Drosophila melanogaster: one gene and its partners. The protein of the gene in region 1 interacts with the protein of each later gene in a pairwise test. Each region holds a gene or a part of one and is shown on either strand. Other genes may lie near its edges.

The links.
Region 2: the proteins of kuk (region 1) and CG8929 interact in a two-hybrid assay, tested with the Drosophila melanogaster proteins (one large-scale study listed by BioGRID).
Region 3: the proteins of kuk (region 1) and Mtmr6 interact in a two-hybrid assay, tested with the Drosophila melanogaster proteins (one large-scale study listed by BioGRID).

What each region holds. Positions count from the first base shown.
Region 1 is NT_033777.3:17,077,813-17,086,055, reverse strand, and holds kuk (kugelkern), read right to left. Parts: upstream 5,813-8,243; 5' UTR 5,700-5,812; intron 4,111-5,699; exon of another isoform or gene 4,029-4,110; intron 3,669-4,028; exon of another isoform or gene 3,549-3,668; intron 3,393-3,548; 5' UTR 3,360-3,392; coding exon 1,647-3,359; 3' UTR 1,275-1,646; downstream 1-1,274. Other genes in the region: GckIII (germinal centre kinase III), read right to left, coding at 1-258; Keap1, read left to right, coding at 8,151-8,238.
Region 2 is NT_033778.4:20,324,657-20,331,903, reverse strand, and holds CG8929 (uncharacterized protein), read right to left. Parts: upstream 4,635-7,247; 5' UTR 4,511-4,634; exon of another isoform or gene 4,038-4,510; 5' UTR 3,846-4,037; coding exon 3,770-3,845; intron 3,578-3,769; coding exon 2,883-3,577; intron 2,799-2,882; coding exon 2,707-2,798; intron 2,641-2,706; coding exon 2,274-2,640; intron 2,196-2,273; coding exon 1,740-2,195; intron 1,680-1,739; coding exon 1,542-1,679; 3' UTR 1,183-1,541; downstream 1-1,182. Other genes in the region: MED8 (mediator complex subunit 8), read left to right, coding at 5,182-5,940; tapas, read right to left, coding at 6,091-6,308, 6,367-6,515, 6,574-6,725, 6,783-7,056.
Region 3 is NT_033778.4:23,388,794-23,398,221, forward strand, and holds Mtmr6 (myotubularin related protein 6), read right to left. Parts: upstream 6,629-9,428; 5' UTR 6,364-6,628; coding exon 6,124-6,363; intron 4,688-6,123; coding exon 4,571-4,687; exon of another isoform or gene 4,188-4,570; intron 3,111-4,187; coding exon 2,948-3,110; intron 2,881-2,947; coding exon 2,597-2,880; intron 2,534-2,596; coding exon 2,399-2,533; intron 2,332-2,398; coding exon 2,102-2,331; intron 2,025-2,101; coding exon 1,512-2,024; intron 1,456-1,511; coding exon 1,213-1,455; intron 1,149-1,212; coding exon 926-1,148; intron 866-925; coding exon 728-865; 3' UTR 216-727; downstream 1-215. Other genes in the region: eIF2Bdelta (eukaryotic translation initiation factor 2B subunit delta), read left to right, coding at 1-179; CG3520 (uncharacterized protein), read right to left, coding at 8,147-8,296, 8,352-9,010, 9,072-9,428.

The DNA of each region.
Region 1 (8,243 bases):
GATCCATAACTTGGTGCCCTTAAGAAAGCTGCCATAGTACTTCGTCACGTACGGCGAGTCGCACTGCGACAGCACCATGATCTCCTGCTGGATGTCGTCGATCTCATCTTCGGCCTCCTCCAGATCGATGATCTTGATGGCCACCACTTGCTGGGTGCGGTTGTCGATGCCCTTGAACACCTCGCCGAAGGAGCCCTTGCCGATGCGCTCCTGCTTGGTGAAGATGAGCTCTGGATCGACTTTCTCCGTCCAGGACATGTTTCCTATCTGGTTTCTACTTCCCACTTCGTGGCTTCTGGCTCTCCTCCTCCACCTCCTTCTGGATTCACGGGTTTCCTTGTTACTCCGCTGGCTCTCGACTGGCTTGTGTTGGACCCAACTGGACTGAACTGTTCTGCGGGCTATTTGGTGGCTGAACTACTCTGCGGGGGCACTTGACTAATAATTTTTTCGTTGGTATCTCATCTAATCCGAGAAATCTCTCTTTTTTTTGCTGTATCGCAGCAGTATCGAATACCGATTGAATATCGATATTCTCCTGTCGATATCGATATCTTTCCAGCTGTTGATTAGAGCCGCCAGCCGAAAAATAAATATTAAAATTAATTTTTTATTTTAATTGTAATAATATTTATTTCACGATTCGTATGTATTTTCTTAACTCTGGCAGAGCAATTCTTATTCTTTCACTAATATAATAGTTATTAATTTCCCTAAGATTATTTAACTCGTTAGCAGTTCCGAAAAGCTTAAATAAGATTAACTTATTCATTTATTTTCCTATTCGACTTGTGTCAAAGCTTACAATATATAAATATTAGATGTTAACTATTTTATTTCTTTACCCACTTCTGTAATTACAAAACCCATTTGGCAGCGTTGCCACATAATATTGAATATTGGAAAGCGTTGCATCGATACCCGCTAAAAACTTAATGTTGCAGAATGAATTTACATCGAGTCCCTCATTTTTAGTTTATTGTAAATGGATGTAGTTATCGAGTATAAATAAAAACAACTGGTTTCCAAACGATGCAACTAAAATGATTTTTTCGCCATCACTAAGGATTCAATTTCACATCATTCAAAATAATTTTCTTTAAGCTTAATATCGCAATTGATGGGTTATTTTAATACATAAAACACATAAGTTACTTATATCTGAAAAAGAAAATCGCAGTGCCTTCAATACCCATGCATACACCAAAAATTCAGATATTTCGTTTTAATGTACTTTATTTATGAAATGTGTTACATTTTTCTTTTTTTCTTTTGATATAGCGAAACAATACATGAACTCGGCGAAAAGACTTTCACAAATATGTGTTTTATATAAAAATTTCTTAAACAGATTACTACAAGTATGGGTTTTCTACGGTTGGTACCCACTTTTGCCTGGGTACAGATCGTCAGATTCGTCGGTGGTTGTCTGCGACCCGGGAGTTCGCGAGGAGACAACCAGCAAGGAATCTGTGACAGAACGGTGATTTTCCTGACGAAAAACGACCCGACGAGTCCTAGCTATAAAACTTTCTCTTAACATGTTACTTTACGTCAGAACATAAATTACCAAAGAGGGTGAAACAGATATGCTAAGACAATCTTATCAACTAAGGGAAGGGTATTATGTGGTCTGGCCTGTTGTATTACATAATTGAGCAGATGGATCGGCCCTCGGCAGCGACCGCGGCAACATCAGCCACCTCTACAACAGGGTCAATGTTTTCTCCATCGCTGGACTCCTTGTCGCCATCCTGGCCATTGACGTTCTTATCCTCGACATCCTTCTTGGCGGGGATTTCCTCCGCTCCGGCCTCCTGACCAACGGTCACGTCTTCGGCCGGTTGTTCCTCCTCCACATCAACCTCTTCTGGTACGCCAGTCGTAGATGTGTTCAGATGTTGCTCCTCCACGCCGGAACTGTTCGGCTCCAGACGCAGACGGGTCGGAGTACCGATTGTTGCCTTGGAGAATCTCGAGCGCAGCAAGCTAAAGGGAGAAGCCAAATTCAGGCTGAACAAGTCGAAGCGGGCGCGCTTTGGCGGCGACATATCCACGTCGTGGCCCAGGTCACTGGTCGACTGAGAGGCCGTCAGTGGTGGGGGAGTGCGTTCACGCTTGCGGCCACGGCCAAAGAATGAAAATGAAAATGACGAGCTGTTGGGGATCTCTGATCCGACTGTGGCATTCATGCTTGCGTTCGTGCAGTTCGAGGTGTCCAGATCGCTGTTCCCGCACCTGTAGGTGCCTATTTTCGAGGGCGTCAGTGAGTCGATGGGTCGTATGCTACGCCTGCCGCTGATCTGGGCGAAAGTGCGAGCCGGAGTTCCTGCCGGCGAGCTGGAAGTCTGGGCAGCCAGCTCTACCTCGGTGCTTTGCTTGTTGCTACCACGGAAACTGAAGAGACTGCGTCCGGGCGTGGATGTAGCCGTCGGCACGGCATTCAAATTGCCGTGGACGCTGCGTATGGGAGAGGCATCCACTTGTAGCGGTTCCATATCGACATCTTCTTGTGGAGTCAAAGAGCCCGATGTCGATGAAGAAACTGCTTCGGTTTTTATCTTCTGGACAGGCGAAGCGTTGCTTGCCTTGCTGATGGGTGACTTTTGCTGGCTACCCGACTTGCGTGTAGACTTGCGATCCTTAGTAGGAGTGCTGAGATCGGGAATAAACACTACTTCATCGATGATTACCGCAGCATCCGCAGGCGTTTGAGAAGCAGGAGCAGTACTCTCAACGGTAGCATCATCTTTTTTGGTCTCTCCGTTGTCGTCTTTGTCGGAGGGAACTTCAGCTACCACCACCTTTTTTTCGGAAGCCACCTCCTTATTTTCGGATACCACCTCCTTATTTTCAGATACCACTTCCTTATTTTCAGATACCACCTCATTTTGCTTATTTTCGGATACCACCTCCTTTTGCTTATTTTCGACCACAACCTCCATATCTGTCATCTCGGCAGCGCCATCCTTATCCTTATTCTCGGCACCCACTTCCTTTGCCTTCTTTTCCGGCAACTTATCTTTAGATTTCTCTACCTTCTGGTCTTTGCCTGTTGAGCTGCCATTCTGTGACTTATCTTTGCCATTTGTGGGCTTGCTTACGCCGTTCTGGCTGGATCCGGTGGATCCAGTCGAAGTGGTCCGCGGTTGGTTGCTCTTTTTTACCGGCAAAAATGACTCTGTGATCTTTTTGTTCCCATTTTGGGGGCTATTTGAGCGGCCGTTGCTGCCAGAAGATTGCTGCAAGCGCGTGACGGTGGAACCGCCGCTCAGCGAGAGTGGCAGACGACGTCCCGTTCCAGTGCCTGAAGTGGTACCTCCCCCGCCGCTTGTGTTGCTAGCCATTTTGCTTAACATTGATTGGGTTTCCTTCGATGCGTTGCACGATCTCTGCAAGGGAGCACAAACAAAGAGAATATTTTATTCGTTGATTTCAGAGGGCTGTGAAAACGAAAACAAAAAAGTAAACACGAATTGATTTGCGGTTTGTTTACACCACATTCCTTGCGAGAACCGGCTATGAAATCAATACCCCCACCCAATTACCACAGATTTGCTGTTCAGTATGGGAATGTAATCACAGTTTTTGATATTTTCTACGCTAAGCGTTTTATTTCTGATTTTCTAGCACGTCCGCACACATTCAAGTCTGAAGCTTAACTCTAAGGTATCTTCATCCTGACCCGGTTTAAGTAGCTAGACGGGGAATCTTATTCATTGCAGGTACGTGAAGTATGGACAATCTACCTGCCGATGCAGCTGCCATTTATGACGGACATATGTGCAGAGATTAGGATGTGTTAATTGCCGGGAATAAACGGTCAACCATATGCTAATTTCTACCTCTAAATTTCGAATTCGCTCAAAAAATTCTGCTTCGAATTTTCGGTTTTTCTGCTCGCTGACTATGTTTTTTTTTGTTTGTTTCTGCTTGAGTGGCTTTCACTTCCCCCATATTTTTAACTGGCTTCCGTTCTATTAAATGCATTCAAAACAAACTGAGACACAAACTTAACAAATACAGACCAACACGCAAAGCTGGTTGCCCCAGTGTGTTTTCCGTTTTCGCTCGCCTTGCAAGTGAAATGACACGAAAGGGTAAGAACGGCTGAAGTGAAGAAATTCGTCTAGAATGCCAAGAGATGGAATTTTCCCAGACAGCTCGATGCCAGATAAATGCGAAAGTTCAATTTTACTTTATCCGGATTGCTACATACTCTAACCAATTATTTAAATGGCATTTGACTGATTTTTTGTGATTATAGACTTTTGTGGGTTTTGTTGAGTAGAAATATTGACTACTAATTTAAGACTAATAAACGTTATCTAATAAATAATAAATTGGATACAAACAAATAATGCGCGAGAAACATATAAAAATGTCATATAAATATGTATCTTTAAATTTTTTTTGTTTCAATATACCTTTGTGATCAGTATACCTCAATACTTGTTGTGAGGGTATCAAAACTAGTTGCACCCAGGTGCATTTATTTAAGAGAAACGTAGGGCAAGGAGGGAACGGGGAATTCGCTTAGAAGGAAATTGCATTGACCGGGTTTCTTTTTATTTTGTTTTTAGAAAGTGGAAATGCGAATGCTGAAAAATTGCGGACAACGAACGATGCTGCGCAAAATACATAAAAAATAATGCACACAATTGCAGCGAAAGACTGCAAAAATGAGAAATGAAGAGAATGAATGTTTTTGCGAGGTTTGCCATGCAGATGCGAGTGTGTGAGTGTGTGGCACACATGTATTTATAGCCAAGCCCTCTTTTATGCGGAATTATCACTGTTATTGCAGTGCCCTTTCGTCGTTTGTTTTGATATTTGCTTCGCGGAGTTGATTAAACTCGAGCATAAATGCCTCTTTATATGGTCGAGTGGTTAATGGCGGTTCTGCTCCAAGTCTAGTTAATCAATTTGAACAAGCTGCGATCGGATCGGCAAAAAAAAACAAACAAAAGGAAGAGTACAAAAAAATCAGAAACCCACACATGTGCAGCGACAAACTGTCTGTGAGTGGGCAAGAAAAGGCGGCATACAGTGCGCGCCAAAATATTGCATACAGTACAAAAGCAATAAATATTTGACTAGAGAAATCTGAATCAAACATTACTATTTTGATAGACATATTTAGATAGCTACCATTGTGTTATTGAATCTCTTATTTATTTGTATACAGAAAACGATATTCAAGGATGTAACGCTGCAGTAGATAATATTGTATGTACTATATATTTAGATATGCTTCTCCAAGCTACTTATAATTGAAAACAAAAATAAACTATAGTTTGATATTTCGACATCCCAGGTTTTTTGACCTGGTCCACTATGCTTTGCCACCACTGTACCATGCAATTGTAGGAGGCTGATACCGCGTTCGTTTTTTAAAATGGCGGCGCGACAGCCGCAATTGGCGATAATTTGTTTGGAGAAAGGAAAAAAAATGTGAGCTCTTGGGCGAGGGGTGCAATAAAGCCCTTTTGCAGGGCAATAAAACTGATGTTTCTAACGCCTGCTGCTTCATATTTTGCGCACATTTTGAACATTTGAATTATTCCTTTGTACGCGCACAAATTTATGTATGTATGCTATACTATCCTACCGCAACAAAAAGGATGCGCAGACAGTGCCCATCGAAACCAGCAGTATTTTAGCTTTTTGTAAATCAATATAAACATAAGCACACCCACCTTGTAGCGTTCTAGTTCTAGCAGCACAGCTAATACTTATACAGAAATTACTTTGCGACAAATTAACTGATTTCAATTCAACCGACGCCGATACAAACAAATTATAACCAACGCGCTAGTGGGACCTTAGCTACCACGCGGAGAAATACCACGTGCTGCCGATCATCGTTTTGCTTTCGATAAGTCACGATGGTTCACGTCTTGGAATTTCTACATCTATATGTAAAAAAAAAAAAAAAAAAATTATCAGAATAGTGAAACAGTACAACCAACTTTAAAGTTGTAATAATTAAAATTGTTTGTAAATGTGGTTTAATATCATGTATACCATTTATTTTATAAATATCCACCAGCTGGTTGGACATCTGGCAACTCCTGTCATTACATGCTTTCAGTGTCGAGCGTTTTCCAGCACTTGCATGTTTACCTTAAGAAGAAGAGTAGAAAAAATCGTTGTGTAGTGGCAAAATAAATAAATACAGATGTGAGTAGCAGTAAATAAAACATACAAAGTGCAAAAAAGGCATAAAAAGTGCATGACCCTCGCATAGTTTAGTTTCCAGCTGGGAAACCTTTTATTTGTCTACGATCGTACATTTATCTGCATGTGAAAACCTCAATGAAACAAAGGGAGAAATTAACGGTGTATTTTCCCAGCCGATTTACGTGGTTATATACATAAATATATGAAGTATCTGTGAGATCTTGAAATCCCTGGTGATAAAGTGTAAATGTTTGTCCTGCATTGCGGTAATCTCTTACAACAAAGTGGTTTGTTTTAAGTGGCCTTCTTTCGAGTTCAGTTTCAATGGCCTTTATCAGCTGTTTGGCACATGGCGTTGGAAGTGCGGGTGTGTGTATGTATGTAAATAGTATGTACAGTACGTACGTGTGTGCAAGGGTGACAGCTGTCGCCCCAGGGAGAGCAATGTAAGTGAGTAATATTTGTTTATGTGAAAGCAAAGTTCAACGGTACCTGCAAACACACAAACACACATCCCCAACATCCGTGCTGATTACGCTGCTGTTTTCACCTACACCGACGTACCACTGTGACAGTGTGTAAGGTTTTGCCTCTTCAGCATGATTCGGCACTATTTCGTCCAGTTTTTGCCTTTATCATTCATTTACCAACAACCAACTCAGCGTCACTTTATGCGGAAATTTAAAGCCGCACTTTGATGAACTAATGTTATTAAAGGGCGTGGATTTTCCAAAGTACGTTTGATTCGCCATAATACTTATATGGGATTTTTGGCGGGGGAAGTCCCTTTTGCCCTTATCTGATTAAACAAAAATATTTGTGTAGTACATATGTAGTGGTTTTAATTTGGTGATTCAGATAAGAAAAACATACGATAAATTTTAAACGTTTTGTAAACATTTCTCTAGAATAAATAATAAAATTAAAGGATAATCTTTGAAAGGGTTTTGTGTCTTAATATTATTAAATGAAAAAAAAAAATATTTCATTATTGTAGTTACTTCATTTAATGCGAAAAATTTTTTTAAGTGTGTATCAGTGATATTAATATTTCTATCGTCATGTGTATAAGGCGTTCATAAATTGAAATTGTTTTGGGAACATGACTTGATACTTCAAAATTTATTGCCTTTTCAATTGAGCTTGGTAACAATGATTAATCGGATATACCGTACAATATTGTGTATATGGCCATTTATGTTGTGAAATTCCCTTAAGACAGAACTCCGATCATGACTAAAATACTATGCAATAAAAAATAGAGAGACGTAATCTCTTTTAAACATATTCCACGATATGCGCATACGAAATTAGCTTAGCTTTTTGTTTTGATTGTATTCAATAGTTCATTTGGCACGGACTTTGAACACATTTTAGCTATCTTTTGAACAAAACGAAATTCCTAACTGCTTGCATGACACGCGTAATTTTTTTGCAAACGCTGTGTAGCCTGAGGCTCCATACAAAAACCTGTTGCTGGTAAACATGGTAAACAATTATGTTTGCCATCGGTTACGATTTGTGAGCATCATCGTTACGGTCCAAAAAACCGCCCACGGGCCGTGCGTTTCATTCATGGCATTATATAGTTTTTATCGCCACAACACGGAGTGTATTCACCTGGAAGGGCCACATAGAACTCAGGCACATGTGTGCACACACACACATATGTAAGCATGATAACGCTCTTTGAAACGCTCCCCCCACTCCGCCACCATCCCCGCGAGAGATAAGTCTCGGTGGGCTCTGTGGCTGGGCAGACGCAGACCACGGCAGTCAGTTGACGGGCTCTCTCCACGGCACACGCATGATCGCCGGAGCGGATTTGCGGAGAAGCAGCTGATCGCGCGCTTTCATTTTCACACGGACTTTCAGTCTTTGTTTGCGAAACTATTGATTATTGAAACTATCTCTACCGAACTAACGAAGCTGTGAAGGATCCCTATCGATCCGAGATTAGTGCCAAAATGCAAACCCAAATGCACTCGCCCATGCAATATGAGACCCACATCTCCGACATGCCCAACCACAAGGGATACCCCTGCCGCCCAGAAGGTTGG
Region 2 (7,247 bases), on another chromosome or scaffold:
AGGAATATTTAAGATTTTCACTTGTTTGCCAGAGGGCGCCTGTCGGACTCCATGCGGCTAAACAATTTGTTGTATTTATTCGTGACACTTATTTGTAATTTTGAGCATATAATAGCATTGTGTGGATTATAAAGGGATTATAGCCCCAGTCGCCCCACTTCTTGAGCACACCCCACTACGCCGCAATAATTGCTCACGTTCTCACGCGCTCTCAACGCCTCACCCCCTGTGGCTTTTAAAACCAATTTGGTAAAACCGTCCGACCAACGGCAGCCAGCCAAGTAAGTCAACCAGGTCAAAAAGCTGCTTCAAGATGTGTGTAATTAGACGTGACTTTTCCTCGAGTTCTACTGAAGGGTTTTCTGGTGGCCGGGGGCCAAATCGGGCCTTAAAGCCATCTTAACGCTGTTGTTATTTAGAGCTTAATTGTGCCCGGACACGGAGGAGGAGCAGTGCCCAGGGTCGTGGTTCAGGCGATTGGGCCGAAGTGATGGGTTGAAGGGGAACCGCCCTTAGAGTTCAAGATGGATTAAAGTCCGCTTCAATGGCTACTCCGTGGAGCCTTTGTCCCCCCCATCCCAAACGATGCCCCACTCAACCGCAATTAGCTTGGCAGAAGCTCGATATCGACACATTAGCATCCCCTGTGCACCGGGCATAATCTGATTATCAGCCGCCAACCCCCGGAAAAAGCAAGTGAAAAAGTGCTAATTTGTGCACGGAAATCACGCCCAGGAACTGGGATGGATATCAGGGATTTTCCCGATGCCCTCCATGTGCGTGTCACCTCCAGCTGACTGTTTCCCTTATCGCCTTTGTGCAAATTGAAAATATGCCAAATAATTACACATTTTTATGTGAATTTTTCAATTTATATGCCGTCAAATAAACGCTGCGTGCACATCACAGTATTGACATTCAGTTGGGAGGCACTTGCGCCCACTTTTTCCTCATTTCCGACGATATTCGCAATGTCGTCAGACATCTTCTGGCAGCTTATTTATTCAAAAATGTATTTGACCTTGAAAAGCTCTAGGCAACTTTCGGAAAATGTCCACAGATGGCGTTTCATCGCTTTCTACTTACGAGCGTAAGTTACATTTGTAAAATCCCGTCAAATGTATGTAATGTCGTGGAAATAGAGATGTCAAATCAAACCAGGCCCAGTAAAAGACAAAATTTATGTACCGACTGTTGTTTAATGCGTTTACAAGTATATGGGTGTGTTGTACTGAACAACATGCACTCGAAAAAAAACTTACAAAGTTCAGTGTTAATGAAAGCCCCACTACACCAACAACAGGATGTCAGAGGCCAAGAGCCAAACATCTCCGGGTGCTTGGCTTTTAATTATATTGATTATCAAAATATAAGTTGACAAGTGCAGTTTCATACATTTTAAATGTACAAACGGGGGAAGTTGGGATGAGGAAATGATTAAGATACAACGAGAAGGAAGGAAATAGTAGGTCAAGTAAATGAGCTGAATTGGAAGTTGGGAATTAAAAGAATTAATGAAATGATTCAAATGATAGGGGCACTCAATTCAAGCGCTGAGTTACCGGCAGCTTTTTGCGCCGTCTTCGCAATTGCTGACTGCGATCCCAGTACTCATAGTAGCGTTCCTGTTTCAACCATTCCTGATATTTATACCACCACTCCTCCCACTTGATATAGTCCTAAAAGATATAGATAAATGTTACCATTTGTACTGGACTGCGGATAAAATCGTCACTTACCTTCAGGTCCAAGTCTCTTAGGTAACCACGACTCTTGTAGTACTCGTAACGGACGCGCACATCGTCCCACGACAGCATTCCCGACGGTGCTGTGGTGGCTAACTCCTCCGGAAAGTGCCCGGCCGGTGCCGGCGAATACGAATAGCGACGCGGCGGCGACTCCAGGCCCTCCTCAATCATTACTTTGAGGGCCCCACCGGCGGAGTCTTTGGTGATGCGCATGTTCTCCATGTTGCTGCGATCGATGCTCCACTGCGCCATTTTGCCGAATCGATCCGAGAGCGTCAGCCGCGTAGTAGCCGAGAATGTGGGCAACGTGCCGACCTCGTCGCTGTCCGAGCCGTTCGAATCGTCCGAGTCCGAGGAGGAGTTTGCCGCGTTAGCTCCGGTGCCACTGGACGTCCCGCTCGGATGTTTTTTGCGTTTCTCACCTTCAATTTTAATGCGTGGCCTCACCTGATGGAAAATAATATATATGGATTGTTATATTTGGTTTCAAATTTATTTTGACTCTTAGCTTCGGACAATGCTTACCTCCTTTTCCTTCTTCTTCTTTTTTGCCTGTGTTGTAGGTGCTGCAGCTGGCGCTGACGCCGGCTCTGGTGGCTCTGGCGGGCGGTGCTTAAGACGCGGATCTTCCGGCGGAGGCGAATGGCGCGAGGACCGCGCGATCTTCATGTGGGTGTCCGACGAGGCGACACGTTCATGCCCGATGTGACGCATCTTCGCCTGGCGATACTTCTCCATGGCGGAAACCGAACTGCCTCCACCTCCGCGCACGGGCGGTGGAGTGGTGGGGCGACCATGGATACGGCCATGTGATTCCGACGGAGGGGGCGGAGGCGCCCCCGAACGATAATGGCCACGTGGCTTGGGTGGCGGCGAGCGCGGACCGCGGGATCTTTAAGATGGAAAAAAAAAAGTTTAATAGGAACAAAGAAAACACATTTCATATATCAATACTTACCGAGATCTGTGACGATGACTGGGTGAGCAGAGGGAGCAGGAATCATCGGAGCTGGTGCTCATAGAGCTGTTTGATCGCGAACGCATCGAGTGCTGCAAAGGGACACGGATATATGTATAAATGGTATGGTTCTCACTGACAGAATAATATGTATCACTATCTGGTTGAAAACTCACCCTCGGTGGTGGCGATGGCGGTCGCTTGGAGCGCGGCAGGATATGGGCGACTGGACCTCGCTTCTCCATTGCCGACGACGAGGGCGGAGGAAGCGGTGGAGACCGGCGACGTCCGAGCGGAGAACGCGACGCGTTTGGCTTGCGTCGCAACGACGAGGACGACGAGCCACCACTGGGTTCCGGCGGTGATCGGGGCCTTCCGCCGTGGCCGTTTCCGGGTCGACGCATGAGGGCATCGTGGCTATTGTTGGGCGATCGTGGCATTGGCGGCGAGCGAGGTCCACCACGGCGATCCATGCCACTGTGCATAGCCATGGGCGGTGAACGACGACGCGGAGGTGGTGAAAGCGGTGGCGATTTGCGCAAACGCGACCGACTGCGTGAGTGCGGCGAACGAGAGCGTCCGTAACGCTGCGACGGAGGCGGTGGACCTGGCGGCGGTCCACCTGTGGGCGGATAACGACCGTAGGGCGGTGCTCCACCCTCACGACCTTCGCGACCGTCGCGTTCGCTCTCTCCAGAGCTGCTCTCCCCCTGGATGTACATCTTCTTGTAGCCCGTGTGGCGCCATCGGTTTGGATCCTTCTCCTCTGCCTCGATCAGCTTCTTGTCCCAATAATCGTTGGTGGTGTTGGCGCGCGCCTTCTTCATCACGTTGTCGATCTCGCGTCGCTTTCCAGCGGGTAATGAGGGATCTGCAAGGTTGAGAGGTAAAAGGTAAGCTTCGATTGGCAGGGTGGTGGGCGGTGCTTTGTTCCGGGAAGCCCCTAAGACGGGCTGATGGGTTTATGGGCCCTTAGACATCGCTAATCCCGGCGAGGTAATTGGGTTTTCCCACTTCTATGCAGTTGCTTGCTGGTAGTTGGTAGAAGTTTCAGTTCAGGTACCTGTTATGCGGGCAGCTGTCGGCTGCCTGTCCATGTGCAGTTTTGGATTCAGTTCGGCGCGCCTGCGCGACGCCATCGCGAGATTTCGGATTTCTATCGCTTTGGCAACTATGTATATGTATATATATCGCGCGACAGATATATGTATGTATGTACTCGGGTTTCAATGTTTATTACCCCCAATCGGTTAGGGTTTGGTTTACTGTTTCGGATTCGGTTTGGCGAACGCGACAACACACTTTACCATTTCAAAAACATACACAACAAGCTGCAAATATATTACAATTGAATATAGAAACATGTAAAGAGAGCATTAGAAATGGCTAACACAAAGCAACAACAATATCAGGAGCGGAGTTATACAGAATGGGAATAGAGCGGAGAGACCTGAAAACGCAGAGAGAATCGCGGACGCGCTCCGGCTGTCATTTAACCCATATCACGCCGCGGGGGTCGGGGACCTGTGGTCCCAATCAAAATCGTGCGAGAGAGCCGATTTTTAATCGGCTTGCGCGTATATCTTTTCACATATGCATTTTGAATTTCTTCCATTTTTCACACATACACTCACACCAGCACCAATATATTTGCCTTGTCAGCACGAGAGGAATGCAGAGCGAGACAGAGAGAGAGTGTGAGGCAAAAGTTGGCGATACTCCCGACGGCAGCAACTAAATTTCGAATTTCAGCTCTGGCAATTATGTAAACGATGTAAAACAGGCACTAAAATAATTTGCTTACATTTGGCGACGTTTGCGGGCACGCTTTACGATATTTCGTGAGCTGTTAACGTTTTATTGGCAAATGAAAAACACGGCGTTGCGTTCACTTCAATTTTTCTCGACGGCCATGTTGGTAGTATCGATATGCCGGGGCACAATCGATGGCTTGGCTTCAATAGTCTAAGGACTGTTCAGAGTCTGATGAACTCGAGTCAGTTTATATATTTTAATAATAAATATTGTGTTATTTCAAGAGGCGCTCGTAGTTGAAAACACTATTCGTTTTGGGAATGTTTTATATATTAGACTATTTAAATCATATCATATTGTTTTGACATTATTTTAAGTATGCATTAACGATTCTGCTAATTATTGCAAAAATAAAAGTTATTAGTTCTATTTAAATTAAAACAGAAACAAATAATAACGATCAATTATTAGTTATTGGTGAGCATTAATTCATTTTTTATTGTTCAGTTTCCTTAATTGACCATATGATTTTAATTTTAGGATCTGAATGTAGTGTGGACGCCAGTTTGCTGCTATCGCAAACGTTATCGATAGTACGGTGTTGCAGTATTTTATTACACCCGACTAACAAATGATAATAAGCAGATCCACGGTCACACTTTCCACTTTGTGTCCATCCGACTGAAGTTAAAAATAATAGTTTAATTGGGAGTTTCCAAAATGCAGCGCGACGAAAAGCTTTTTGAGCTGACGCTGGATACGGTCCTTCAGCGTCTGAACGACCTGAAGCTGGCGGTTCTCTCGATGATCCAAAAACTTGAGCTAGAGTACGAGACCATCAACTGGCCGACTTTCCTGGACAACTTTGCCATTATCTCAAGTCACTTGACGGGATTGACGAAAATCTTGGCAAAGGAGCAGTGTCCGCCGCTAAGAAATCGAACGGTCCTGCCCCTTCTGGTCTCCATGGACCGGGATGACACCCTCATCAACATCACAGAGGGTCGGGTGCCAGTCTTTTCACACGACATTGTTCCAGACTATTTGAGAACTCGGCCGGATCCGATTACGGAACAGAAAATGCTGCAGAACGAACAGAAGGCGGCGAACCTCACCAACGACGCTGCCATGAAACAGGTCACTCAATACAACAAGGTCGTCTCCCACGTCCTGGATATGGTCAGCAAAGCGCGCGAGGAGTGGGAAATCGAGAGCTCTTCGCGCACCGGCATCCAGCAGACGAGTAGCATGGCCGACACACAGCTCCTGGTGGCCGCCGTGGGTATGGGAAAAGGACTCAAGCTGACCAACTATGGACCCGGACCTGGCATGATGGTACCGCCTTCAATTCGAGCACCCTCGCCAATGGGTGGACCCGCTATGAGTCCCGGCAACGTGCAGCAGCAGCTGGGAAAGGCGCCATCGGCTGTGAAAACAAACATCAAGTCCGCAAATCAAGTGCATCCGTTCTCTCGATAAAAAACATCAGTTTATTAGCTATTATCGGTTCCATCTGGCGGAATGTTTCGTCGTAATAAGTTATATGTATATTCCTAATTCTAAAACTAGGATTACGCAAACATAAACATGAACAAATTTAAATGGATCGTCTCCTCCGACTCAGACTTCTTATGTTGCTGGCTGTGCGTGCTTCTCATTGATGAGAATCTCGTGCAGCTTAATATCTTTCGGCGTGGAGGTGTCCACCAGCTCCAGGCACAGCGCTCGTCCGCCATCCTTTTGTTTAGTCATTCGCCGCACAATGCCAATAAACTTCTGACCCAGCGACAGTTCCCGGAATCGGACGCAGTTCTCCTTGCTCCATACTACATCAGTCAGTTGTATGCCTGAAAGAAGATCGTTTTTAGTTCTAACGCCAAACTGCTGAAGTTCTCTTGAACTTGCCATAAAGTTGTGCTGGCAATGCCATCTTGGGCAGCTTTCTTAACTCCGGATTTAGAGTTTTCAGTTGATCACAGGCAATTACTCCATCGTCGCCCACGTCGACGAAACGCACGTGTATAATCTCATCGTAAATCTTGTGAATACTTACGCTGCAAGATTAACAGATTTAGTCTGCGTTTTTATTGCAAGACCTGAATAAGTTCTTACCGATGATATACGCCTTCGGAGTCAGGGGCAGCGTAGGCCTCTCCAATGGCCAGTTGTGAAGGCTGCACTCCCTTGGCTGCCGTCTTTTGGCAATGCTCTTGTAAATTCTTCATCAAAGTCTGCAGCTGGTTATAGTATTTGTACGGTTGCACCTGCGGAAGAATCGCACATCATAATCGGAGTCATTAATTTGCTGATGATTGACTTACCGCAAAGTGACCGGGATTGACGGAGAGGGCAACGCGCACCTCGAAATAGGCACCCACTGCCGGAATAGCCTCGTAATCCTTGAGCATGAGAGACGAAAAGGTGCTGCCGGTCGATCTTGCGGATGGTTTCTTCTCTGGCGTCACCGGGGGAGTGGTAGCGACAAGGTCGCTGCTGCTGCTCTGATTCGAGAACACGGAGCTGAAGCTACCGCGTCTGGGCAGCTGGACATTGGAGCTCAGGAGCGTATGATCATACTTCTCCGGATGAATGGAGCTGTGTGGGTGGGGAATCAAGGGTGGGGCGGGAACAAGCCAGATTGGGGGATTGGGAGGCAATTGTTGGTTTCAAGGTTTAAAAAATCTGATTGCTTTCGGGCTTATTGGGTAGTAAAGTACATATGTGTGGCAGCTTAAGAGTATATTTTTCAGATTATATACAAAGATGTGCATGATTTTAGGGTAAGC
Region 3 (9,428 bases), on another chromosome or scaffold:
TGCGCGGCGACAAGTGCCAGCTAAGCAACTGGGCGGCCAAGGGAAAGCTGTTGCCGCTCAACCTGAGCTACGACATTACTCCGCCGGAGCTGGTGAGTGCCGTGGTCACCGAGGTGGCCATCCTGCCCTGCACCAGTGTTCCCGTCATACTCCGCATCAAGCCAGACATTGGCTACTAATCAGACTTCATCGATCGCTCAGTAGAACTCGCAGTTGTTGAATAAATAAGTTTTATTACACTTTGATCAAATCGACAAACAAGATTGATGCGTAGTTCATAATTTACGGGTATGCTAGTGGAATATGCTTGATGCCAGGGACCGCTGCTGCGAAGGAGGGCTAGGCCCAAGTGTCTGTACATCCGGCAGACCGCCGAGTTCCTCGGAAATTATAAATATTTTGATCAAGAGCAAGTCTGCGCTCTGACATGCAATTGTACTTTCCGTGCGGGTGGGGCTGGGATTAGCAAATATGTAGCTCTAGATTCTAATAACAAAATACAGTTTTGTGCCCGGCTTATAGACTAGGACGATGCCTGGAAGCCAATCGCTGGTGGATTGATTTGGTTTTGCTCTTTTGATTTCCATTTGCAACAACTTGAATGAGCTTCTACAAGCAGCTAAGTCTACAAATGCAACAATAAATACACACAATAAATTTAATAGCGTTTCCATATCGATTGCACACCCTAGCTCCGCTCCATTCCTCGATCCTGCCTGCCTTGCCTCTACGGGCTTTGCTTTTGCATTTGCCGGAAGCAGCCCCGGCACACCGGCACCGGCTTTCCACTGTCGTGTCCTGGCAGAGCCACGTTCTTGTCTATGCAGCGCTCGCAGAAGATGTCCCCGCAGCGCCAGCAGTGAGTCTATTCGAGGATTGGATCATCATCAGTGGCAGGCTTGCTTAAGTACGCGGAGTTACCCACCTTTTTGCTGAACTGATCGAAGGGCGTGGAGCAGGAGCAGGTGGTTACGTTGCGCATGGGCTTCCAGTCTACGGCCACGGAGTTGATCTCCTCGGGCAGCGCCTGCGGCGGACTGGATTGTTCCGCGCTCAGCGACAGACTGGCGAAGGACATGTTGCTGGCCTTCAGCGGATGATCGTCGTCGGCGGCAGACAGTTCGCTAAGCTTCTTATCGTAGTTGTATCTGCAATAAGCGGATGGATTATAAAGCATACTATAGCATAATAACTAATATCTATCATACGCACTTGTTGTCATTGATCTCGTTGCTGGAGAGCTCCTTGTTCACTTTGCCAGGGGCGCTGGTGGCGTCTTGCAGTTTCTTGGCCGACTTGGAAATGTAGTTCTTGAAGCTGGCTATGCGCTTGGTCAGATGCTGCACGTGGTCCTCCAGCGAGTTGCAGTGCTCCTTGCTATCGAGCAGCACGTCGCCCAGTGGCTCCCGCGGATGAATGCCGCTCTCGAAGCGACTGTACATGCCGCGCCAGAACCTGTGTGAGAAGCGCATAGTTTATATAGGATTTGGCTCATTCCAGAAAGTCCTCACTTGATGCACTGCGGTGCCAGGTTGGCCTTAATGGCCTCGTCTACATTTGGTTTGTACAGCGGGTTGATATACTCGTTCAGGTGATTGGCCATATAGCCCCACAGCGAGAAGGTGCGCTCGGCCAGCTTTAGGTCCAAGCGATCCTTCTCGCAGTTGCCCACGAAGGTGCCGAATTGACATGAGTGCACATGGTCGTGCAGGATGAGCAGGAACCGCTCGTTGAACTCGAAGGCCTCGCTGCGCTGCGACATTAGCTGCCAGGTACAGTCCAGGAACTGTGTGAAGATCGGCGACACCTCGCGGGCATCCGTCTGGATGTGACCGCAGCGCTCGCTGAACTTGTGCCCGAATGCCAGCCAGTCCTTCTCGATTAGCGCCTGGAAGCCCTTGATGGTTCGGTAGTAGGGGTTCAGCATCAGCTGCGCCAGTGAACAGACCTGGGCCGTGCGGTCCCAGCCGTCGGAGCAGTGGACCACCACCGAGACGCCCTTGTCCACGGCGTTGGCGATGAAGCTGCAGGGTGACACACACAGAATGTTAACAACTCAGTCCACAATGCCATTGGGAGATTCTCCTGTCTGTTGGCTCACCTCGACGTGTCCAATATGGAGCGAATGTGCTTCAGCCAGCCGGATGACTCCAGGGCATTTATGAAGGCGCTCATCGTGGGCGACTTCTGTTCGCAGGCCTCAAGCACCTTTTGCAGACTGGCACGCTGGACGTGGATGTTCTCAATGCCGAGGAAGTGGAATTTGATGTTCTCGTAGAAGGCCTCGTTCTCGTATCCCTTGCCGGCGGCTCTGTTTGCCATGGCATTAATCTGCAAATGGCGTAAATGGATTATTTGCATTTATGCTCGCCTCGGGAGATTCCCCTGTCACACTCACCCGCGGTCGCGTGTCCACCACATACATGTAGTCCGTGTTGGAATTCGTCTTGCGTATGGCCTCCAGCATCTGCTCATCCTCCAGACAGCGGGCACTGAATCCGGACAGGGGCTGACTGCAGCGGCAGATGGAAGCCTGCAGTGGTTCCCAGTTATGTAAGTTTGCTGATAATATGAGTTATGTATATCTTCGCCTAACCTTGTTGTTGTGCAGATAGGTGAGCACTGGCAGCCGCCCCTTGGAGCGGAATCGCGAGCTGCTGATGAGCATCAGCGTGGTGGCCTCCTTGGGCACGTAAATCTGACGCGGATAGGTGTCGCACAGCTCGTACTTCTCGTTCATGGAGCACAGCGTCCAGGCCTCGTTGGGCACCAGCATGTGCTTGAACTCCGCCTCCAGTTTAAAGTAATCCCAGCCAGCGTTCTTGGGGAAATCATCCTTGTTCGGCTGGTAGTTGAAGCAGTACAATTTGTTGATGGACACTGTTCGCGGGATAGGAATGTAGGCTTGTGAATGGCGGCCGCATTGTTGTGTTTGGTGGATTCTTACCCGGCTGGAAGAGTTTCAGCAGCGAAGTGTAGACATCGTGGCACTCGGAGTCCTTGGGAATGACGAAAGTTACGGAGAGGAAGGTCTTGCAGCGGATGAGTAGCGGAGATCCTGTCGTGCTCAAGGGAAGCTTCTCAATGCTGGCCACGTGCATGTGCAGGATCTGAAGAGAGCGCAAAGCGTAAATACAAGTATATAACGTCCGGTGTGGTTAATAAATCTGCAGAGAATGGGTTGCGTTGGCTTATTTCCCCCAGCTACTCGGATGATTGCTGCTTATGGTTTGCTGCCCTTTGTGAGCGAAACATCCAAGAAGCCAGCTTGCGACCGTGACTTCGCCCAAGGCTGCTCTTATGCAACGCGGGCAAAAGCAAAACTTCACTCCCCCCTTGGACACGGGAGCTACGTGCCCGAACAGAACTGCTTTCGCCACTAAATAATTGATGCGCCCCAGTGGCGGGCAATAAAAAGAAGCGGAGCTAGACAGGGGAGGGAAGAAGCAACCGGATTATGAGGAACTAAGCAACCAGTTTTCAATGGCGCACAAAATCGATAGTTGCCTGCTCTTTTCGCCCCCTCACGGCGGCTCTCGTGCTCTGATCCTAAGTGTTTTCACTTTTAATTAACCACTTTGCGCGGCCCCCGCAAGTGCGACTCATCCGGAATCCCGACACTTACGCTCCTGGGCCACTTGTGGCACTCGAATGCGCCAACTTGCTCCGGGGAGTGCATAATTAATACAATTTGGGCGAGGCAATTAAAATGCAATGCTTGCCTGCTTCCGGCCAGCAACCTCGTTACGTATACGCAGTGGGCAACTTACACGGTTGGAATAATTAAACGCATTTAGTGGCACTCGCATGTGCAGGGATTTGAGCAACAAATCCGGCGGTGTGTCCAAAGGATATGAGCTTGTCGGGCACTTATTGTGCAATATAACGCTAAGCCAGGGCTTTTTCGCGACTATTCACCAGGCCGCTTATTGTCACTATATCCTTTCAATTTCGCTGCGAAAATCGCATTCGCCAACACAACGAACGAGCCTTAAGCTGCAACAGCTTTTCAAACAATTCCCAGTGAATTTAAAGCAAAGCAGCAAGGAAATATGCTCACAATTAACGTACACAAAAGCTGAACGAATTCAATTCGTATGTGTGCAATGGGGCGTATACGCAACACGCTTGTGCAAACATTCTTTTGTGTGCGCCAGATTGCGATTGCAGGAGGCGAATTAAATTACCTGTTAGGTAAATAAGAATCTTAAAGCGCAGGAAACATGCTGCAAACTCGTTAAAGGAAACTTTTCCCCACTCAACCGCTGTCTTCCTCCTCTCGAGAAAGGAAAGGTGCAGAGCACCTAAGACATCAGTCGGCTGGCTGCCAGAGGGGCTCTAAACTTTTTGACAGCTGCGAGGTCGGTGCTAAACCGAAAAGAAACCCATTTGAGCACGTTCGCAGGCAGCGGACTTAGTTGCCAGCACAGTGGTGACTCACATAAGCGTTTTGCGTGGCCCACAAACGCAAATCCACATTTGCCACTCCAGCCGACAAAGTTGTTAGCAAAGGGGACGCGAATTTTAGTCGGGAGCTAGCGTATTGATGATGTCATTATGGGCCACTTACCCAGGTCTCCTTGTTGCTGTCGGGCTCCACGAATATCAGATGGGTGGCCGTTAGATAGAGTGTGCCAACCGTGGGATTTTTGGTATTGTAGCGATCTATCATCCGCACATTTTCCACCTGCAAAAACAAAAACAGAGACAGAGAGAATGGAAATGATTACAATTGGGTTTAAATTCGCTATTTCATTTCAGCTGCGCCCCCGGCTGACGTCAGCGGAATCCATATAGTTTTGTGGAAACCCACTCGTACGTACACATTGCATACGAGAAAGAATAAACTGCATGAGTACGAAGAAAGGAGCAAACTTTTTCAATCAACTTTCAGCGAATACCCGGCTGAAGTGAATGGAAACTTCATCAAAGATTCATCAAAGCCGAGGATATGTCAACTTTAAAGCACCACCTAAATATAGGCACCACAATATGTGCCCCTTGCGGTTAGTTGTTTGGCATCCATTTAACAAAACCGTCGGCCGACCAGCGGCACATTAATTCCTTTGATGGTCCTGCAGGCCGGATTCCCCAAACCAACCCATGCCGCCGCTTCCCCATCTGCGCCGGCTTTTATTGCCCAGGAGGTCTATACATATTCCATTTCCCTAGAGCCGTTCATCATCGGACTAATTTCCTTTCATGTCACTTAGATTGAGGCCCTTGTTTGAGCCGGGTCCATTGTCGAGATAGATAAGGTTAGTTAATTGTCTGATTTAGCCAGTGCGAGTTCATTACCCTCGCCCAGCGGGCAGGCAAATTAAAGCGTGGATTTAAGATAAACAAATTTGCCTAACTAATCATTTGTATAAATGAACCTTCATAAGCTTTCAGATTCAGAAACTGTAGCATATATAAGCATAATGCATAGCACGAGTATTTGATTAGATTTATAATGGTTAAGTTGCACATGCAGAAGCTCAATCAGTTTGTTGGCAACATGGCGCATACTTGATGCACGATTATCAAACGAACTGAGCCATAAAACTTAATTATATTTTGAATTTCGAAATTATCAGATACACACAAATAAAGACAAACGAACTGCATTAATTCAATCTGCGTATAGTGCACATGGGGAGTTGGTGCCATTGTCCATTGGTAATCAACATGGGTAACCTTGACAATTGCCAAGTCCGGTGGCCTGCTCTTGATGTACGAGTGCAATTTGCCAGCCGATGGCAGTTGCATCTGCGACTTTGATGGAAAACCCATTCCATTAATTGACCCAGCTCCGCACCCGAGTATCCCGCTGACAATGCAACAATCTGTCAGACTTGTGGGTGCCCCGAGGAGTGATTGTGGTGACGCACTTGGCGCCCGGATGCAGACCTGCTCCTCGTTCCCACACATGACCCACATAGGAAACGGGTTTCGGGAAGAAGGGGAAGTCAGCTTTTGGCAGGCCCCCGAACATACTGCCTGTGTGCTGATTTGCATATTTTCCGGCCAGTGGCCAGTAGCCGGTGGCCATGGGTGAGATGGGAAAATTAGCACGATTTGCTCGCCATGATTTGCATGGGAAACTGGGGAGCAGGATGTTGGTCTGTTGGGCGGGTTTACCTTCTTGAGCACACTGTTGCCGTTGTAGAAGACCGGAGCCTCGTTGAACTCCTCCTCGATCCAGGAGACCACCTTTTCGGAGACGAAGGGCGGCACTGGCACGCCCCACAGCCTCTTATTGCCGTCCGGCGGCTCCTCCGTCTCCGGCGAGATGTTGTCGAAGCTCAGCCGCAGCGCGGAGGTCGGGGACAATTGGCGCTCGATCTCGTTGAACTTGTTCATGAATCGGGTGATGTCCATTGCGGGAGACTGGCGGGCCGCTTTATTGATTTTGAATCAGCAGCAGCAATCGTGTGCTGGCAACTCAAATGGAATCAATCCAAGTTTGTATGGGTGGAATGGCCTGGGACTTTCACTTTTCGCCTGCCTAACGAGCGCGAAACTCGCGCTATTCACTGGCGACTTGCTGTGCCTTTTTGTGCGATTTTACCCCACGGATATGAGTGTGTGTGGTTTGCTTGGGGCAGCGCGAAGTGCTTCCGTCAAACGATGGAATGGAACTCAGTTGCCTGCGACGAATGCGCGCGCTTAAAAGCGAGCTACGATTTTGTGTTGGGGAAATTTGTCAAGGGAAATTCTCTCTCTCTCTTGCGAAGAGAAGACAAATTGAGCAGTTTGTTACATGGAAATACCCTGTAAGGATTGGGATCTTACTAAACAAAATCAAGATATTTAACTGCATGATTAAATATAAATGATAATGTAATAAGATACTGCTTCTAATTTAAGTTACAAAAACATTTTAGAGAAAAGCAGCATTACCTATACGAGTTTTTTAAATTGACTAATAACTTCTTCTATTAAGTTTACATTACTTAAAATAGGTATTTGAATTTGAAAGAATATTTATTATCCAACTTAGAATGCAAATATTTCATATTTCAAGGAGTTTCTAATGATTTATGTAAGAATTTAAGATAGGTAATTTCAGTTTCGTTACATTCAAGGGCAGATCTAAGCTGCAAATAAGTTTCCAAACTTGCATTGATAAGTAACCCAATTCGGAGATGCGGGAATCCCATCAACTTCGGCCACAACACGAACCCAGTTAAATAGGCCACGTCGAAGGGCAGAAATGTATGTAGCCTTCCATTTTGGACGCTGAGAGAACCTTCCACTGATTTGGATGGACGACTTTTCACGGTTAAAAATTGTGGCTGAGTGGGTGGATTCTGGGTGATTTTGGGATGGGAAGAGAGCGCGGCTCGAAACTTATTTACTTTGCATTCTATGCGCATGTTTTGGTTCCGCATTAATGGACGTGGATTTCTGGGAGTGCTTCCACCTTTCCGGGGGCGGAGCACCCCACCTGTGTGGGCGGAGTAGCCGGTAGTTTTCCCACGGAAAGGGCGCAGGTGGAGCACCCTTACCATCGATTTCCGAATGGCCAGCCCCCGCGATGGATGACTCACAGCGCCTTCGCGGCAGCCCAGCCAGGTGCTCCACGGTGGTCGCCGAGGTATGACCCTGGCTGCATTGCACCCTATCGCATTGATTAAGCTGATAACTAACCTTGGCGAGCTTTATTTCGTCCATTGTTTACGTTTTGATTGGGTTTTCCTGTTGCCTCACGTGAAAACGAGCCACAAAGTCACTGTGCACTGATTCGCCCAGCGGTTCACAAGCTCACGCAAGGGAGCCTCGTTAATTTGGTAGAACTGCACTCGTGTTTGCTTTTTTATTGCATTTTTTTTGTAATTATTCCCGAATAATAATAAATTCTTCGAGGCGATTGTACGAACTAGGGATGTGCTCCAGTCGATAGGATCCACCCCCTAAGCTATCGGCCGTCGACGGCTATCGGCGGCCACTCTTTGCGACCGTCTGGCAGCCTTGGCAAATTCAAAAGTTGTGCGCAAAAATGCATTTAATGTACGTTAAAGTTGAAACACATACAAGTAACAAGGAACGCGATGGCTATCAAAAATTGACTAACATTGACGGTAGGCGGTTGGTTCTAGCCATTCAAGTGCACTTCAGGCGTGGGCGGAGAGGGTGTAAATGCGGTGAGTGGTCGTCGTGTTCATTTACGCAATCCTACGTATTTCGTCCAGACGCCCTTGCTGTCGAAATAGGGCTTGTTACGGGAACAGATGATGGCCTCCCTGAAGACATCGGCATAGGAAGCGGGCATGGTCGTGTGCTTATAAAGATTGAAGAGGAACTCGTATATCTGCAAGGATTCTCATTGGTATTTTGCAGGTAATTGTAACCAGAGTGTTTCAAACCTTAGCCTCCTGATCCTTCCAAAAGACGTGATCGCACAGGTACTGCAAGCTCTCCGGGAACAGTGCCAGGCGCTGCTTGTCGTCCGTGGCCACCACATCGACGCTGCCCAACAGCACGGCACAGCCCGAGAGCACATCCACGGCTAGGATGAAGATGTCCAGCAGGTAGAGCGCCCTGTTCACCTTCTCCTTGTTGGAGGCCTCGGCCAAGAGCATTTGGATCTCCAAGAACATCTCCGCTATCCAGTTGCTGGAGTGCTCATCGCTCTCGAAAGCGTACAGAGTGGCTGCCAAGTGGCGGTAGAAGAAAGGCCGCTCCTCCGCTCGTTTCTCGTAGGCATCTATTATGGGCGTAAGCCACTTGAGAGGATTTGGAAGCTTCTCGTTGTACAAAACCAAGTAGCACCGAATGATGGTCGCCTTTTTCAGCTTGCCCACCGGCGTCTCCCACCAATTGGCTGGCGTCGTTAGACCATCAATTGCATTCGGATGCAGTGTGGCCACCACTTCCGTGTAGCGTTCGAAGAGCCTTGAGTCCAGATTCATCGAGTCCATGTAACGCTCAACAATCAGGGTGAAAACATCCAGCACCTCTGGTATGTCGCAATTGCCGGTGAAGATGTACTTGACGCTTTCCAAAAACTTTTCGAACAAACATCCTGGAAAGAAACTAAAGCTTCGGGGAATTGCTCATTAATATACAAGCGGATTGGGACACACCTTCAACAAAGTCATTTATCTGCGATTCCTTAAAGCAGTAGACAGCCACCTTCTCGGCAAAATTCTTCAGAATCTGGAGGCTCACACTGTTCGCAATCTCTGGCAGCAATGAGAAGAGCAGCAACAGATCCTCCTCGAAGCAATTGGGCTCAAAATCGATGAGGAAGTTCTCCAGGAGGCGCTTGGCGGTTCCCGAGTTGACGGCCTGATTCTTGGCAATTATGATGCAATATTTTCGCGCATCGAAGGACAAGTGGAAGAAACTGGTGAGGCAACTCCAGTCCAGCGGCGGAATTGGCTTGGGAAAATTTTTGGACAGCGATCGCAGAGCGAAAGTTACGGCATACGGTTCCGGGA